Styela clava: one gene and its partner. The protein of the gene in region 2 binds, or shares a complex with, the protein of the main gene of each other region. Links are inferred from orthologs where the notes say so. Each region holds a gene or a part of one and is shown on either strand. Other genes may lie near its edges.

What was found. The genes of interacting proteins can lie anywhere in the genome.
Region 1: GATOR1 complex protein NPRL2-like (region 2) and GATOR2 complex protein WDR24-like share a complex: the UniProt entries of both Drosophila melanogaster proteins name them as parts of the GATOR complex. The link is inferred for Styela clava from reciprocal best matches to the Drosophila melanogaster genes Nprl2 and Wdr24.

What each region holds. Positions count from the first base shown.
Region 1 is NC_135253.1:6,285,948-6,292,261, forward strand, and holds GATOR2 complex protein WDR24-like, read right to left. Parts: upstream 4,550-6,314; 5' UTR 4,510-4,549; coding exon 3,911-4,509; intron 3,711-3,910; coding exon 1,634-3,710; 3' UTR 1,132-1,633; downstream 1-1,131. Other genes in the region: uncharacterized protein LOC120326470, read left to right, coding at 1-141, 593-757, 998-1,131. UniProt on the Drosophila melanogaster protein: An essential component of the GATOR subcomplex GATOR2 which functions as an activator of the amino acid-sensing branch of the mTORC1 signaling pathway.
Region 2 is NC_135262.1:4,333,131-4,339,444, reverse strand, and holds the start of GATOR1 complex protein NPRL2-like, read right to left. Parts: upstream 3,930-6,314; 5' UTR 3,912-3,929; coding exon 3,789-3,911; intron 3,278-3,788; coding exon 3,180-3,277; intron 2,261-3,179; coding exon 2,043-2,260; intron 861-2,042; coding exon 664-860; intron 46-663; coding exon 1-45. Other genes in the region: uncharacterized protein LOC120332525, read right to left, coding at 5,907-6,314. UniProt on the Drosophila melanogaster protein: An essential component of the GATOR subcomplex GATOR1 which functions as an inhibitor of the amino acid-sensing branch of the TORC1 signaling pathway.

The DNA of each region.
Region 1 (6,314 bases), on a different chromosome or scaffold from region 2:
GAATCACATTATCTTCAACAGAAGAACGTGATATTGGGTGTCATTCTGGGCATTCAAAACATGACAACATTGTTGTAACTTGGAATTATTGGAAGGCAGCAATGGAAAATAAAGAAGTTTACTCATTTACATCTTCTATAAGTAAGTTTGTCAGATATTTGTAAAAGAGGGGATGAATGTGAATGTCAAAGTGTGGCGCATCGTGCTAAGTGTTAGGAATACGCTCGCCACCACACATCGGATTCGCAGGTTCCATGCAGGGATAGTTATGTGCAAGAGGATTGCTGGACTCCTTGCCACCATCGAGTCCATGCTTCTGGAAACAAGTAACTGTCTAACTAATCCCATACCCGACTTAGGTAACCGGACAAGAGGCCATAGTTTGCTATATGATTAAGTCGTCTTATGTCTTTCCTCTCCCCGGGATAAATATGTAAATCCTATACTAAAAGTTTGTACATACTAATATTATTGTAATAAAAAACTGCAACTGATAAGCAGTCATATGAAGATCAGCACTATTACCCAGCACTGTTTTACGTGTTCATTCCAATAACTGAATGATCATTACTGCGTAATTATCCATTGTCAGGTCTTGCTTCAGGACATGTTACTTCACTGGAATTGAAACACTGTGTCAACTACATTCAAGATAGTGTTAGATCATGGTTGAGTGATTGTCATTTGAATACACAGCATATCGTACAGGCCTCTCTTTTTTACACTGGAGAAAACCTTTTACCTGAAAGCGTCCTCGGTATAGTAATAGTTAATAATTATATTTTTGTGACACTTGGCATAAACACTTATGCAATTTGTTGGTTTGTTGGTATCATCTTTGAAAAATTGTTGCAAAACGAGAATGATTTTGGTTCATCTTCTTAAAGATTTGTGTATTAAAGTGTTCGATAATGCAAGGTGAATTTTAAAATCTGCAACGATCGTTATGACAGCCTGCATTTAACCAATAACTTCACTTTCCTTATTTCTTTATTAGAGTATTGGAATAAAGCTGAAGAAAGTTCACAAATGCCTCTCATCACACCAGTACAAGTGAAGAAAATATATATTAATAATAGATTCAATTGCATGACAATTTCTTGTTTAGCCTACAAAAAAATAAAACAGTGAGATTAAATTGCTCTAGTCTGTATCACAACCTCAGTTCTCTCAATTAATCAATTAATTAACTACCTTCTTCGCAACCAGGACTGGTGGTCTGATTTAAACGACCTTGTGCCAGGATGCAGTTTTGAATGTAATGTTCGACCCACAAATCATGATTTTCCTTACGAGTTCGGGGATGGTCTGTGTTGGGCCCCATTGGTTTGACAGTCCCTTTGCACAACTTGATGTAAAGTAGGCAAACAAAATTATCTACCTCCACATTGGTACATACATTTCTGGCGCGACCAAATCTGTGCCATTGTCATTGCTATCTACCTGGGGAGCATGAGTAAACGAACGAGTCAAATTCAGAGGCTATTGAAGTTGTTTCTTTAGTGCCCAAGATGTGATTGACCGTAATTACATATGGTCATGACCAGCAACTACATTTTGAGCATAATTGACAGTGATATGAAAAAATGTGTAAAATTGCATAAACATAATTAGGTTTGTATATATACCAATTTCATTTGACTGGTAGTCTATGTCTAGAACTAGCACAAATGTGCCCACATCCTGTTGGACATCTGCCTTTGCTATGTGGATAATTAAACCAATCTTTCATGCAATCTATATGTCCACCATGACAACATCCTTGGCACCATGTATACAAACTTTTCACAACTAACTGGCACAGTGAACATTTTATACCAGCCCCCATGCCTGCTTGTTTATGATCATTATCAGAATGTTTTGAACAACTCCATGGGTTTGCAGTTGGCATTCGTTTATGGCAAATTCCGCAACAGGTGTTTAGGGTGGATGAAGTGTTCATATTCTTTATGGAAGGAAGTGTGCTTAAATTAATAATCTCAGTGAAATGGTTCCATAGTTCATAACGACTGACCAATTCCAGATATGAATTTTGCCAATGTTCCAGCAGATGATCGTCAATAGGAAGACTTATTGAGGGATAATAATGACCCAGGACAATCATTGTACATGTTATAATTTGAATGTTGTTGCCGTTGCTTATCATAGACTCGTACATTGAAGAAAGCAGTTCAGTTTTACGACTGATTGACAAAGCAGGGTTTTCATAGGGTCTGGTGTAAACCACAGGAGATACTGATAATTGTTCATGTGGAGATGAAGATTGTGAATGCAGGGAGACAGCTGAAGGGCCAGAACTCCGACTATTATTCTTCTTCCTCCATTTTTCAGGGTTATGATTCTGCTGTGATGTTGAAGATGGAATCATAACAGGAACGGCAGTTATTAGTTTCTCTTCTTCTCCACTTATAGCTGGATCAAGCTGGTTTTCAAAACCATCAGTGGCAGTTAGTACAAGTCTCTGTTTAAAAGCTTCAGATGGAAGTGTAGCATCACTGATTGTATCGCTAAGAGGATACCAATCCTGATCCATGTATCCTTCTGGTCCTGAAGAAATACCACCGTGATGACCTTTCCCAAAGTCCTCACTCAAATCATACTCATCAGAGTAATAACACTCTTGTTCAGATGTAGCATGGCCCTTTGCTATATCTGTCAGGTAATGCTCAGTCTCTGGATCTGAGTGTTGTTCGGATTCTTCTCCGTTGCTTTCCCCAGTAACAATCCCATTTTTCATAGACTCTCTCCCAGTTTTAAGACTGCTTATTTCTGCTGAGTTTGTATGAAATGTAGTAGAGTTGCTTCGTTCTGTCTTTTTTGTCGAAACTCCTTCAAAAAACCTTTCCAAATATCTCCATATGTTTGCATCAATGCTCATTTGAAGATCATCACAAACTTTTGCATTGTGTAAACATAGTTTATTAAATGCCATTCCTTGTAGCTTGTATTGCTGGGCGGCCTTGATAAGACTTGAAGGATGTACGTCCGAGGAAGTAGGAAAGTCATCTTCTTTGATAGGAGTGATACTGTGTATCCCAAGCTCTGATTTAGCATTTAGAAATCGAGCAAATTTAATATTCATACTACTAGTAGACAATGTGTTTTGTACCCACGAGTTTGTATCCAGTTTTGGAGCGACCCCAACAACAGTTCTAAAACCAAACCGTGTCATTCCTTTAGTCTTAGTACTAGGTATGGCATCATATGAATTTGTACTATCAGTGGACGCATGTCCTATATATCCTCTAGCGCTTACAGAAAGACCAGAAATGTTACAGTGTTCTGATGGGCGATGTGCATCTCTAATGGAATGTTGATATAGAGTCCCATCTTTAGAACATGAAAATAGAATTTCTGGATCATTTTTTTTCCACGCTATACCAGTTGTAACATCAGTGTGTTCTGTAAAATGAGCAAACGGCATGTATGGTCGTCTCATATCCCATACATTGATAGAATGGTCCAGCATCATTGCTACACTTGCAATCTGTTCTCGTCGTTGCGTTCTCCACCGAGCCATGGCAACTAAAGAATTTGTTGGTATCACCATATGCTCAGACATTTTGTGATCTATCATATCCCAAATTTTGACTTTATTGTCTCTGCCTCCTGTTGCAATTCTCTGTTTATCTTTGGCATCCGGATGCCAATCAATTGAATAAACAGATCCTTTATGGGCTATGAACTGCATCAAACAGGAACTTGTGTTTCTGAAATAGAAAATTATAATAATCAAACTTTTGTCATATGAAACTAGCTTATATTTCTCGGTCATGACTTGAAAATTTGTTCAACTTGCAATGGTGTTTACATTTCATGATTAAATTCAACACGAAGACTTTTGAACCAAAAGCATAGAAGATCAAAACTGATTAATTCCAACTTTTAACAAACTTAAGGCGTAATTCACCTGTAATCCCAAACTTGAACAGAACCATTGTCAAACGATGCCGCAAATTGAAAATATTCATGAGGAGAAAATTGCACACATCGAACACCATCAGTTTTACTGGAGAAACTGGCAATACATTCCTTTTTTCTCATGTCAAACATTTTCATTGTACAATCTTGAGAACCACTAAGCAATCTCCCAGGCTCAGAACTATGAAAACATACTTTTGTAACAGTCCTTTTATGATCAGTAAATATTTCGAGTTGTTTATTTCTGCCTGATGCACTTAAGTCCCATGCAATGATAGCTCCATTTGTAGCAGCAGTTGCGATTAAACTTTCATTTAAATGATTCCATGCCACATCAGCACAGCTTAAATTGAGCCCTTGTCTTCTTCCGACTCTCAAGTTTATTTTTTCCTTAAAACAAGTGTCATCTACTGAATATATTTTCAAAATAGTTCGTCCAGCAACTGCTATCATAGAGCTGTCTTTGTTTGCTGCTAGCATGTTGATAGGTCCACCCACATCAACATACATTGTGCAATGTTGGTTTGCATATGTTACTCCATTTGAGATATTAGTGCCAAAATCTGATACTATTTGATTTCTCTTCATTGTCTATACCAGTATGCGGTATTCAATGGATTTAATCAATGGACCTGTAAGAGATAAATTTATTCAGTCAATTATTTTTTATCTCAGAGTCTTAATTTTATTCAATTATAACGTATCAATGTAATGTTTTTGTGAATTGACCAACTACAGAATTTGGTACCATAATTTCATCAAGAATAAAACCATATTCTGACTACTGTAAGACCTGTCTATCTGAAAAGCTAACCCACAATTCCTGTCAGGTGTCATTCTGCAGAAATTCTGGGTCTCGTGTAGTTTCGTATCGTACCTAACGTACTTCTAGCGGGCGTAGCATAACAATTTTTGGGTCTCGTCTAGTTTCGTTCCACAATAACTTCTAGTGGGCGTGGGTAACAATTTTTGCATTTATGATTCCTGACTGCGTCATCCAAAAATTCGTCACTATCACGAAATACTGAAATAGAGCTTGCCAAAGGGCGACGAACACCCGTCACAGTGCCTACAAGAGTGCAAGTACATGCCTCTCGTAGGATCGTTTCGCTGATCTCCTAATTAACAAACGGAACTAAAGCGAGACACCTATTTTCACCAAGCAACGTTCACGGATCCTCATCTGAACAATTTCGTGGGTTGACACTGGATATATTAATTAATTTACATTCACGCAATTAATCTAGTTTGGTACAACCGTAAATATATACTACTACGGTGCAACACACCTAAGGACTTGTTATTTTTAAGCAATAGGTCATGTATTGTGCCACACTTTATCAATGAGGTGCTATACGTTTTCACTCTAAGAAAGACTTCAGACAAGCAAAAAGGGACATATTAATTTACGTCCACGCAGAGGGTGTAGTTGGGTACCACACACATAAGGACTTATTATTATTTTTCACTCTAAGCAAGAAAAGTGCATATTAATTTACGTTCACTTCGGTACCACACACATAAAGACTCATTATTTTATGTCCAGCGATAGGTAATGTATTTTGCCACACTTCATCAATAAGGCCTTATACGTTTTCACTCAAAGCAAGGCTTTAGACAAGTAGAACAAACATATTAGTTCATGGTCACGCAGGGGGTGTAGTTGGGTGCCGGTTTTATTTATGGCACCTCAGAACTCGGCATCATCATAGCAAATTAGGTATGGGGTTACGGTGACAGACTGACAGCTTTGTGTGTTGGTCGTAGCCGCAGTAGAGCTAAATGACTCGTTTGTTTTATGAATAAACTTTTTCGTGTAAAAGTATGTAAGCGTATTCTTGACGCCGATCGAGCAGTGATGTTTTGCAAGTTTGAATCAACGCCATATGCGTGGCATACCCATGAGCATAGCCCTGAAAATGTCGTTTCGTTTAACTTCAGGCAGAATTTCCAAGATTGTCGACTACAATTAGTAAACTAGAAAATATATGTAATATATATTAATGTACGAAAAAAATTTCATGCAGTTAGATACTATGCAATATACAACAATCTTTCAGCTAAATATAACAGTATTTTTTGTCACAAAATTTCTTATTTTTCAAAAATAAGGAAGTCTTGTAAATAGTGTATTTAATCAGGAGTGTGCAAACTTTCCCGCCGGCGGGCCTGATATCAATACTTGGGTAAAACCGCGGGCCGCACCTTCATTTAACATAGGCTTTCTAAAGTAACAGGCACAAAATAATGTCTTTTTTTATTGATCTTATGGCATTATTATGGGTCGTTGCAAAAATGATGAGTTGACGCATAAATTTATCAAACTGTTATTCAAATTTATTGTCACTCCAAATTTGAACGAATTCAGTGGGAAATTTGCTGCTGGGTTCTTT
Region 2 (6,314 bases):
TGCGATCTTCTGAACATGACGAAATCCATCAATGAATGGAAGAATCTGAAAAAAAGGAAAGCGATGATGGTACGTCCTCGTGCAATCAGTATCAGAAAAAAAAAAGAATATGGGTTGGTGATTTAATTTAATTATGAATGCAAATGTTCAAACAGTTTGGCAATCTAATTTTCAGCCCTGAAAATACAGATATATTCTTCATTTCTGATAAATGTCCCAATTTTATAGTAAATTCATAGAATGTGCTAAATTTATTGTCAAATGATTATTCTATCAAGAACTCATTGAAAATATGGGAAAATGGGAACTAAAATAAGGAAAATCGGTAAAAAATTATGGCCTAACCTGGTAAACACACTATAGAAGTACCCAATTTTCAACCATGAAATATTCAAAGCTCACATCCATGAGCATTTCTTACCTTCCTTGTAAGCCAAATTACAAAACCATGTTTAATTATTAACTCACGAGTGGAGATTGGAAACCTTATAAAATATAAAAAAAATACGGTACTCCTGAAGTATGCACACCAAAATGTCGCGTAACCTGAACTCTAACCTGGTACACAACCTGAGTTCAGGTTGTGCGCCATCTTGGTGCGCATACTTCAGGAGGTCCCACTAACTATGGAATATTCAAAATTCACATTAACTACAATCTTACCCTTTCTGTGGTCAAATCCCATCCTCCTGGCATGAATTCATCTATCGATACCATCAGTATCGGCACATCATGATCTTTTACTACAGGAGGAAGGGTTGTGGGGGGAAATACTTTTAAAAATAAAGTTGTGTTATCATTAACCCTTGTGCAGCAACTTCCTTTTGTATTTAGTTCTTCAAGCATATCGCGCAGAATATCTAGAAAAATGTAGGAATGTAATCTGTAATGGTAATAAACCTCAAAGGTGATTGTTTTACAATCAAACCAATAGAGTACAGCAGTGAGGAAACCTTTTGTCACTCGCGGGCCAAAATTAAGGTTGCAAGTCATTGACGGGTCGCACATATTTTTAGAAAGTTGAAAATTTCGAACGGATGGTACTTTTTATAATAAAAATCAAGCACTGATACATCTCTCGAATAGAATATAGATTTATTTCCTCATTGCATCTCATAAAATCCCATTTGAATATTTTCAGCGCCATTGAACCCTTTGCACTTAGAATTAACTTTTCCGCGTTTTGTTGCCATTTGCCTAATTATAATTAAATTATATGCTCATTAAACGAGTAATTGTGAATTATATAATTGTTGGGTTATAATATAATTAAGTCTAAAGAATATATTCGTCAAAACGGATGTTTTGTTACTATAATTTAGTGAAGCGTCGCGGGCCGGATTATAGTGCTCCGCGGGAAAGAAACAGGAGCAGGCTATTTTGCATTATTATGCACACACATTTCGCTCCAAAATATGAGATCTGCTTCATACGACTGTAAAATGAGTGTTTGTATCGTGAATGTAATATTAATTTGGCTATTTTTGGGACATTTCATAAATGTACTTTAAACGAGGGTTTGGATATAGATCTACGGATACAATATTTTAAAATAACCAGAATCTATGTTTATGCAAAACCTACCAAATTCTTACACCCTGAAAGAATGAGACTTATTTTTTTGTTTAAAATCAAGATATATACTTAACATAACAATAACATAACTAGCTGTATTGTCTGCACAGGGCCAAATATATTTTTGAGTACTCCCGTAGTATGTGCACCATGTTAGGGTTAGGCCATAATTTTATTCCGATTTTCTTTATTTTAATTCTATTACAAGTCAGGGATTGTCTGTGTTAGCCAAGTGAATATACCCCCTGCCCACAAGTTTCAGTCACTTTATATAACTTGGATGTAAAATAGGCAAACAAAATTAGTCACCTCCATATTGGTACACATACTTCTGGAGCGCCCATTTTTCAGTTTATTTATGAAAAAGACTTAAAATGCGATGGTTTTTATTTCTTATTGGCAGTTAAATTGAGCAGAAGTCCTAAATTTCTTTCAAACCAGATTTACAGTTAAGGGTTGTTTCTTACTTGGAATCATTTCTCTAGTCTCTTCATTAGAAACGAAGCCATTCTCCTTCTCAAGTTCTGACATATATTTTGAGAGTTGTTTGATCATTGGAATACAAGGAGAACTCTTATGTTTACTATCGAGCACCAGACCAAAGTTAAAGATGAAATTATTTCTTGGATAATGAGATCCCTCGATACATACTGGACATCCAATCACTTTCTTTTTCCCTACATTCCTAAATACAGTATTAATTATAGACAAATGATATTTACTGCGTGTTATAGTCACATTTTTAATAATGCTGCATGATAGCTAAAGAGAAGCAAACACAGCTACCTTCATTTCAGAATAGCCCTATGAAAATACATAGTTAGGACGTTTTTTGTCTGAAAAAAGTTTCTTCTCACTCCAGAGATTCAAAATGCAGGTCTAAGTCAAGGGTCTGAATTGACAAAATCTTAACTCACTACAGCTTACAAATGTGAGAAACTATTTTAACTACTATTTTAACCAATAAAAATTTGGACTCCCAACTCTCTCAAAGTCCCAAATACTGAATCCAGATTCCAAATAGTACACCCTTTCAAATCAGACTCTGATTGAATACCACCAATTATAGTAAACCACAATTCTCTACGATAGTCAGAATCTAGGAATAGCTTGGTCATAGTGTATTGCAGAAAATTTGATTAAACAAAAATATTTTAATCCCATTTACAGCTCAGAACAAGCTGAAGCAGGGTTGTGCAACCTGTGGCCTGCAAGCCAATTGAGGCCCACCGGGAAAAATTGTGCGGCCTGCGGAGACATGCCAATTTTGGATTGTGTGCGGCCCGGGAAACGCAGTTTTAATTTAGTTTTATCTGGTATGAGCGAGTAACCCCAATACCTTAGAGTTGCAAAGCCTATACCCGAGACCAATTTTTACGACGTTACAATGCCCTAACAGCTAGCTAGCTTTTTGTGCATGCAACTACATTAAAGCCTATGTTAAATAAAGGTGCGGGCCACGTTTTCTTCCAGTTATTTGAATGTGGTCTTCATGTAATAAAGATTGCACACCCCTGGGCTTGAGATATTCTTCCCTGTTATTTGACCAAATTTTGTGTGTATTTCATTCATTTCAAGGAAAATAAATTACAAAATATACCAACACAGTTGTCAATTTCTCTTGTAATTCTGGTTTAGGAATGATATAATTCGTAACTTCTTCAAATAATCCTTCTTGTTGGTTAAAATATCCATCAGGATACTGAAATTAAAATATCATATCAAATGATTTATTGCAAAGAAGGAAATCAAGTCATAACAATAGGAAGGACAACATCACTGATCAGAAAACTATATTCCAGAGCTAATGATAGTTAGACCAATATTAGATGTAGTAGATGTTTTACAATCATGAAAATTTGTTCAAGTTATCAGATTTTTGAAAAACAAGAGACGAAACTTGAACTTATACAACAATTTTACTTCTACATTCAATATTCCCTTTTTTTATATTATTGTACAGAACACATTAAAAATACTGAGACATATTTCAACCTTATAATATTCAGTCATGGACAATGTTCAAGAAACAACAAAACAATGCTTAAATATGAAAAACACAATCTCTAACCACTAAAAATTCCAAAGCAATTGGTCCAGGAGTTGAAGAAAAAAACGATTTTTCCATAACCATAAGAAGAAAAATACCAAGAAGAACAATAACAACATAATATTCACAAAACGATTTATAGGTCCACTCCATTGTTAAATACCTGATAAGTTATCTTGGGTCCTTGCAAATGATGAAATTCACTGAAGAACATACATTCAATAGGATGTTTCGCAATGTAAGACTGCAATGAATCGTTCATATTGCTGCATTCAATGACCTTCATGGGTCAGCGAATACAGTTAATTAAACTATCAATTAATCTACATTGAAAGAATTCAATTAATAATAGTTTAACATATAACAGATTATCACAAAAACAATTTTTGATGAAGATTTCGATTCCCATGGTAACGAATCCCCCAAAAAAACTGTTTTGATGAGTTGAGTGATTCAACAATATGTAAAAATAAACGAAAATGAGAAATGAATGATGATAATTTTAATAATGCTTGAATAGATCAAAAACGTTTTTGAAGCAATGGCCTATGTTTACAAGGAGGCCTGGATTATTGGAAAACAAAACTCAAAATTTTTCAATAAAAAACTTTGATATTTGGCCCATACACGTCAAAACCAAATCAATGTTAGAAGAAAACACTCGTTCATATTACAAGTACCGTAATCGTTGTTTTATAATAACTTAATCAAATTTTCATTACTACCGCTTATAATATAAGAATATAATCAACATGTATAGCATATTTGCTAATGACAATCAAGATAGGTTTTTTATATTTATCCTGAGCAAGGCTGATGAAATGGCTTAATCCTATGGTAGACTGTTTCTTGTCCGGTTGTATGTCCAGGACAAGTATGGGTATAGATAACTTTGTAATTGTCTCAGGTCTATGCAATTAATTTGAGAATGAAAAGCATCTACTGAATGATAATTTGAATAGCCTACTATTTTTATCTGCACCAAGAATGTGAGGAATAAATAACTTGGAGATAAGAAAAAAAGGTAGAAATGATTGTACAATATTTGAAGATCCATTTTGCAATACTTGGTTTACCAAGCTGATAGAATTTCTATATAAACCCTGAGATTGAAAATAAGATGAATCATTCCATAGCAAACCACAGTCCAGTATTAACTAGAAACCAAGTCAGGCGCACTTAATCAGGTAAATGCTGCCTTGTTACTGGAGTATTCGGACGGGACTAAAGCCATGGATTTTTGTTGTAAATGGAGCTGGCAGAAAGTTTTGCAACTCCATTTCATGCCCATCCTTTTTTTTTCAATTTATAATTTTCTAATTCATTAAAATAATGAAAAAATTCCCTATCCCATCTCTAAGGTCAAGTGCTAAAAATGTAGTTACAGTAATGTTTAGATATAATTCCTACAAACTACACAAATGCATTTAATAATGCTTTTATTAGAAGGTATTCCATGAATGAACATAATTATGAAAGCCTCAAAATACAATAATAACACTACAAAAGTATTTTCTTAAGAGACGAAACATTAGTTTGGTATGATATATATTTTAAAACTTTAATAACTAATCAATCTTCTGAATAAACATTATTCAATATTCCTCCATTCATAAAAACTTGGGATCTGGAGTAAACTGAATAATTGCTGAAGAAAAACAGCTTAAAAATCAAAATTGGACTACGTACATCAAAAACAATTTACCAAGTAGTTTGAAAATAGACCACATTATATCACGATTTCAAAGCAAAACCAGAAAAATACATTGGACTATACGTAAACTGACATCTAATTTAACCATTTCGTAGTGATTTCCCTGATTATATGATATAAGTCAGTTTAACATTTGTTGGAAATCAGTAAATAAAATAATTCAAGTACCGGTATGCCATAATTCCCACAAGCGCTAAAATCAAAAACACACTTTTTATTAAAATTCTGGAATAATTTATCGTCTATATGTAACTGCGAAAAGTTGACCTCACAAATATATTCCATGCATAAAAAACATTTGGCTATCACAATCTATATACAAGCAGTTTAGTTAACAAAAGAAAACACGATTTATATACCAGTTCATGCAGTTTATGTATCATGATTTTGTCACAAAACACAATATTATTGGCACCCAGAATTTAATATTATTTTCAACTAATGCTTGAAACAGCCTTTCGGCTTGATTTTAGTCTGGCAGGAACAGCATACATTGGACTAAGTAAACTTAAAAACATATCTGAAAAACAAACGCTCAGATACGGAAAGGTTGTCAAATACCATAAATTAGATTGGAGCTTCTGTGGGCTCTATAAGAATTTCATTTACACCTACATGATCTGGCTGAGTAAGGGCATATAAGACAGCCCTTCCAATGTCTTCAGGGTCAAGGATTTTACTTGCTGAACCCATTGTATTGTATTGCACTTGGGCATCCAGATCTCTCGTATAATTCCCAATTTCAGTCGCAACGTCACCGGGTTGAATACAAGTTACTCTGACCCCCTTGTCTTTTACTTCTTGCCTTAAAGATTGAGAAAGTCCTTCTACAAAAAATTTTGTTGCGGAGTATACCGCTAAACCAGGAAACCCTCTCCTGCCTGCATCTGATGATGTGTTAACAATATGACCTTTCCCCCTTTCTACCATTCCAGGTAGAACACACCCAATACCGTTAGTTACGCCACGACAATT